Linked DNA regions of Coturnix japonica. The protein of the gene in region 2 interacts with the protein of the main gene of each other region in a biochemical or structural test. Links are inferred from orthologs where the notes say so. Each region holds a gene or a part of one and is shown on either strand. Other genes may lie near its edges.

Region 1 (2,629 bases), on a different chromosome or scaffold from region 2:
GTTGAGAGTGAAGATTCAGCCATCAGTCATAAGGAAATAATAAAGACGAGTTCTTTTTTTTTAATACCTGGGGAAATGTAACAAATATTTTCAAATACTGCATATCACTTTTAGTTGATCTGTGTGGTTTGTGTGCAGATCTTCATATGAAGCTAAACATTTTTTGGGAAAAAAAAAAAAAAAAGGAAAAACATCAGTTTGATTTCATTTTTACAATTGCAGTTAAAACTCTTAATATAACTCTCCAACAGCTGTAGTCATGGGCTGTATAATTTAAGCTGATCAACAGCCACATTTAATAGCATATACTGGCTTTTTTGTCCAGTTCTCTGCTTCTTTGTATTTCTGTTTTTCCTGTACTACCTCAATAAGCCTTACTTGCTCTCTCATGTTCTCCTGCACAGTTCATACTTAGTCCTTTCCATTCCTTCTTTCTAGTTCTGTGAGTGTTGGTCAGTAGGTAGAGAGAATGAAAGAGTTCTTGTCAGTAGGGGGCAGGGCTGCAGCACATCCTCACGATTTAGTCTGTTCTTGCCCAGCCCTCCTTCACTTCTGCAGCTTGTAAAGGCAGTTCTTTTCATAAATACAGACATTTCGCCTTAACAACATCAAGTTTGTGCTGGTTCAAAGAAGTTTATGCAATAACTGAAATATATTGTAGGTTTTCCTTGGGGCATGAGCCTGATAAACTTTGGCTCTAAGAAAAATTATTACCATTAGTGCAGTGGCTGAGACTTAGATCAATCCTTTTTGCTTGCACCAGTAATTACTGGTTCTTCTATGGTGCTAGGGTATTTTGCATTTCTCATGGTTGAGAACTGCTGTTTGAAGAATGTTTTAAAAGAGCTCTTTAATCTGGGACCTGATCCTGGGAAAACAGTTGTTCCAGCTGTCGTTATCAGAAGTGCAAGAATACTGCTTCTGTTCCAATGTGTATGAGTTCAAAACCATTGTGGAAATCTTTATATGGATGTTTGAAGCTACATTTGCTAGGCCGGTGTTGCTTATAAGATAACCTCAAAGAGAGGCAAGTACAGGGAATACAGAATGTTGGGTCAAAAAGCCAAGTCTCCCTGTATTAAAAACATCCATCCATCTGTATTGGAATAAATGTGTAGTGGTAGAGATTGGTCACAAGGTGTCACCACAGTACTAGTTTTTATTATCACAGGCGCATCCACATACCAGATTTAGAAGCATCTAAGAAGAATTGTTTGCTCTGTGAAGAGCTGAAAGGACACTGCCATTTGGGGGGTGATGGTGTGTGATAGTTTCATTCGTGGTCAAGCTGTAAAATCCCATGGCAGTAAAGAGTGGGACCTACAGGACTTTTACGATGCAGTTGGTGTCACCCCATTTGTTTACTTGACTTGGCTGTTACTTGCATAAAGCTTGTCACCTTGAACTAAGTGGGAAAGACTTAAATTCTTCTGTGTTTTTATTTATTATTACTGAAAAGTAACAGAAAAATAGAAACACACTGCTGTAGAAGTTGTTATATTGTTTACAGAAAAACTGTTTCTACATGAGAAATGTTCAATGCTGTTTATCTTTCCTCACCTGTAAAAGTGCAGTGGCTTTTTAATATCAGGAGGAGATCTTAATGCTGAAACACCAAGGTAAGCTATACCTAAAAATTTTAGGCAAAGTAAACTTTTAAACAAAGATGGATTTCTCAGTGCTTAACAACTTCAGCTGCATATGTAGCTGTTGGCATACTTTGTGCTTTAAAAATTCCCTTCTCTTAAGTGCATACATGTGCTCTGAAGTGCCCTTGAGAGGAGCGGAAATGGGGGAAAGAGCATAAACTCGAGGATACAGAATAAACAGTTATGTAGGGTAGTTACACATAAACTTAACTTTATGGCAGAAAGAATGGTGGTGACAGTTCTTCCAGTCTCTGAATTGATAAATACTGGAAGCAGACAAATATGTTTTAACTTTTGGTTAGCCCTGAAGAAGTCAGGCAGCTGGTCTAGACAAACTTGGAAGGTTCCTTCCAACTCACCTACTCTGTTCTAAATGGACAAGGATGGAGGAAGTGCTTTTTAAATTCTATATAATAAATGTTTTTGTTATTACTATTAAAACTCTTTGTGACTGTTCTCCATCAGTACAAGAGTGCTTATTTATTGTATTCTCGGTCAAGGCATGACTTAGCTAGCATTTAATCCCAACTTTAAACATACCCTGAAACTCTTCAAATTTGTTCTCATGGTTTCTGTCCTTATTAATGTGTCTGGATAGGTCAGGGATCAGAGAAATGCTGACATGCCCACACTGTCTTACGGTAGTAGTCAGCTATATGAATTTGACAGCTCACTCTGCACCACAGGGAAAAAAAATCACTGTGTAGTTCAGCTTAGTTTTTGCCTGACTAGCTTTTTTGTTTGTTTTTTTAGGTGAAACATGGAACCCGTTAAAGTTGCACTACCAGTTACGAAATGTCCGTGAACGGTTAGCTAAAAATCTAGTGGAAAAAGGTGTACTGACAACAGAGAAACAGAACTTCCTTCTTTTTGACATGACTACGCATCCTCTCACCAACAACAACATCAAACAGCGCCTCATCAAGAAGGTTCAGGAGGCAGTTCTTGACAAATGGGTGAATGACCCGCACCGCATGGAC
Region 2 (3,820 bases):
CCCTCCGCATGTACCGTCAAGGTGAGACCCCCCCCCGGCGGGTCAGACCCCCATGCGTGCTCCTCGGTGCCCCCTGGGGATCCCCTTTGGCACACGCTTCACTCTGAGCAGTGCTGCTGCCAGTGTCCTCCTCCCAGCTGTTGTCACACTGGGGACACACATGGCCTTACTTGGGTGTCTGTGCCGGTGCTGCCTGACTGCTGGCTGCTCTCCCGGGCTGTGGGTGACACACGTGTCTCTGCTCTCCCCCGAGGCTGTTTTCTCCCCAGATCTTGGCCAAAATTGTTCAACGTGGCCAAGGAAAGCCTCGTTCCACACAAGAATAAACAAAGGAAAAGGCATGGGGCTGTGCCTGGCCATCCCCCAGGTGTCCCGGCTGCCCCATAGCTGCCCCATGGCCCTGCTCTCCCCACTCCAGGCTACCCCGACCATATGGTGTTTGCTGAGTTCCGGCGGCGCTTTGACGTGCTGGCCCCACACCTCACCAAGAAGCACGGCCGCAATTACATTGTGGTGGATGAGAAGCGGGTACGCAGCCTTGAACCTGTACATCCTGCATCCCACACCCCATGTCCCACACTCTGATGCTTCTCCTTCCCCACAGGCAGTCGAGGAGCTCCTGGAATCGCTGGACCTGGAGAAGAGCAGCTATCATATGGGTCTGAGCCGGGTAGGAGCCCTGCAGGGACATCCCTGCTCTCTGTGGACGGGGCAGGGGTGGGCACATGGCACAAGGGCAGCACTGTGCACTCCCCCTACAGCATTCCTCAGGGAACAAAAGCCCCACACAGGGCCACCCACACTGGGATGAGGGCTGCAGGGCTGGGGATAAAGTCAGAGCACCCCTTTCCCATTGATGTGACACCGGAGGGATGCTGGCATCTCACTGCACTCCCCCCTCCAGGTGTTTTTCCGTGCTGGCTCACTGGCCAGGCTGGAGGAGCAGCGGGACGCGCAGACCAGCAGGAACATCACCCTGTTCCAGGCGGCGTGCAGGGGCTTCCTGGCACGGCAGCACTTCAAGAAGAGGAAGGTTTGTAGTGCTTCTCCCCTCCCCGCTCCTCCGCACACAATTTCGCCTAAAATGGGCAGCGCAGCCTTTCTGCTGCCGCCTGGCCCAGCGCCTCCCCCTCCCGCCTCCACTGAGCTGTGGGGAGTTGTGGGGCCGGCTGTGGGGCTGTGGGCTTGGTGCTGCCCCACGGTGCCGGGATGGAGCAACGGTGCCAGCTCCCACTTTATAATTAAAGACTGCGTAAAATAGGCATCGCTGCAGCACCTCGGTGCTGGAGGCAATCAGATAGATAAGCCGGGGGCAATTAGCCTGCTTGATAATGAAGGGGAGCGTGCCAGGGTGCTGAGCACCCATGCATCCCAGTCGGACGGCGATACCCCAGAGCTGACGCCGTGCCCCGGTGCAGATCCAGGATTTGGCCATTCGCTGCGTGCAGAAGAACATCAAGAAGAACAAAGGGGTGAAGGACTGGCCCTGGTGGAAGCTCTTCACCACCGTGAGGCCCCTGATCGAGGTGCAGCTCACCGAGGAGCAGATCCGTGGCAAGGACGTGGGTATCACCGCACTGTGGGGATGGGGCACGGTGGGTTTGGGGGAGGGTCGGTGTTGGGCAGAGCCCTTCAGGGAGGTGGGATGTGGGACTGTGTGTTGGATGCAGGACACTACAGTGGGTGAGATGCATGACCCCATGGTAGTTGTAGGACCCCATGGTGGATGTAGGAACCTGTAGTGGGGGGGGCACAAAATCCCATGGTAGATGCAGGACTCCATGGTGGATATGGGACCCCGTAGTGGATGAAGGACACTGTGGTGGATACAGGACCCCACCTGGGTGAGAAGCAGGGCACCCCGTGCCCCCCAGCACCAGGCTCAAATTGCTCCCTAATTTGCAAATCAGCGTGTCATTAGCATCCCAAGAGCCGGCTGTTGCAAGAGCCCAATTACAAGGCATGGAGAATGGAAATGAAACCGTGTGCCAGGAGGCGTGCACAGGGGGGAACCAGACACTGTGCCCCCGCCTGGCACAGAGCCACCGCCTGGCTCAGCTTTCACCCTGACCCACTGAGATGGTGTCAGTGCTGAGGGCTGCAGGGTCCCCTCCTGGTCCCATCCCCTCTCCTGGGGTGGGCTCACGGAACCCTCTCCTCTGGAGGCTGCCAGGCGTTTTGGTACCATTTATGGGGTTGGAGTTGTGCTGGGAAAATCCCTGCCCAGCACTTGGCAGGGGGAGCCCCCACACTGCCCGCCCCATGCAGGGGGGTGGGGGTGCTGCCAGCCCCATCCCCTCCCTCACCGCTCTGTTGCAGGAAGAGATCCAGCAGCTGAAGAGCAAACTTGAGAAGGTGGAGAAGGAGCGCAACGAGCTGCGGCTCAACAGCGACCGCCTGGAGAGCAGGGTAGGTCCCAGCCCTGGGGTGGGCTCAGCACGGTGCCGTGTCCCCCCTGCTGTTGCCACATCCCCGCTGTCCCCAGATCACGGAGCTGACATCGGAGCTGACGGACGAACGCAACACGGGCGAGTCGGCCTCGCAGCTGCTGGACGCCGAGACGGCTGAGAGGCTGCGCGCTGAGAAGGAGATGAAGGACCTGCAGGTATCCAACCGTGCTCCCACCCGCCCCCGCCGCCACCACGTGTCCTTGTGGGTGCTCACCATGTCCCCTCCCCAGGCCAAGTACGATGCTCTGAAGAAGCAGATGGAGTCCATGGAGATGGAGGTGATGGAGGCTCGGCTCATCCGTGCAGCCGAGCTCAATGGGGAGCTGGATGATGATGACTCAGGTAGTGTCCCACCAGGGACACAGCGTGGGCACAATGTGGGGTGCCCCATGCAGCATCACCCCGCTCAGCCCCCATTTCCCCTTGCAGGTGGTGAGTGGAGGCTGAAATACGAGCGGGCAGTGCGGGAGATCGACTTCACCAAGAAGCGGCTGCAGCAGGAGCTGGAGGACAAGCTGGAGGTGGAGCAGCAGGGCAAGAGGCAGCTGGAGCGCAAGGTGAGTGCTGCTCTGCACCGCGCTCCCCACCATACCCCCAAACCCACCCTGCAGCGCTGACCCCCCAACCTGCCCTGCCCACAGCTGGCAGACCTGCAGGCGGATGGTGAGGAGAGCCAGCGGGCGCTGCAGCAGCTGAAGAAGAAGTGCCAGCGGCTGGCAGCCGAGCTGCAGGACACCAAGCTGCACCTTGAGGGCCAGCAAGGCCGCAACCATGACCTGGAGAAGAAGCAGCGCAGGTGGGGTTGCGCAGCACGGCAGTGGTGTGGTGACATGGCTGTCAGAGCCTCGCAGAGTGCTTTTACCATTTTAGCTGGGCTTTGGGCACCCCACCAGCTCCCACTTGGCTGAGGTGCTTCACACAGGGAGCGCTGCCTTCGCCCTGCTTTGGGCACAGGGGTGTCTGGGGGGGGGCACCCCTTACCCGTGCAGGGGGACCCTTGTGCCGTGCCGCATGGCTCCGCTCTCTCCCCATCCCCTCTCCCAGCCCCAAAGTTTGCTAACGTTATTAAGCAGCAGGGACGCTTTCATCTCATTATGGTAATGATCGCGCACACAAATACAGCGAGAGAATCCAATCTAATTAATTTCAATTTCCGCGGATTGGAGTCTGTGCTAATGCAGCTGTTTATTACCCGGCGCAAAGAAAAATGGGGATTAGCCGCCGGGATGCGTAAGGCAGGTCACCGAGCCGGGGCGATTTTCCAAGCCCTGGAGGCAGCGATTTCCCTGCAAACCCCTCTGATCCCATCCTGAGAGGCTGAGCTGCAGACACACAGCCCTGATGGCTGCGCCGGGATGGGATGGGGAGCT

What was found.
Region 1: the proteins of MYO18A (region 2) and GOLPH3 form a complex in vitro, tested with the Homo sapiens proteins (2 studies listed by IntAct). The link is inferred for Coturnix japonica from reciprocal best matches to the Homo sapiens genes MYO18A and GOLPH3.

What each region holds. Positions count from the first base shown.
Region 1 is NC_029547.1:8,894,523-8,897,151, reverse strand, and holds part of GOLPH3 (Golgi phosphoprotein 3), read left to right. Parts: intron 1-2,402; coding exon 2,403-2,629. UniProt on the Homo sapiens protein: Phosphatidylinositol-4-phosphate-binding protein that links Golgi membranes to the cytoskeleton and may participate in the tensile force required for vesicle budding from the Golgi.
Region 2 is NC_029534.1:4,721,030-4,724,849, reverse strand, and holds part of MYO18A (unconventional myosin-XVIIIa), read left to right. Parts: coding exon 1-21; intron 22-418; coding exon 419-528; intron 529-604; coding exon 605-670; intron 671-904; coding exon 905-1,033; intron 1,034-1,418; coding exon 1,419-1,562; intron 1,563-2,319; coding exon 2,320-2,409; intron 2,410-2,485; coding exon 2,486-2,605; intron 2,606-2,680; coding exon 2,681-2,792; intron 2,793-2,879; coding exon 2,880-3,007; intron 3,008-3,091; coding exon 3,092-3,246; intron 3,247-3,820.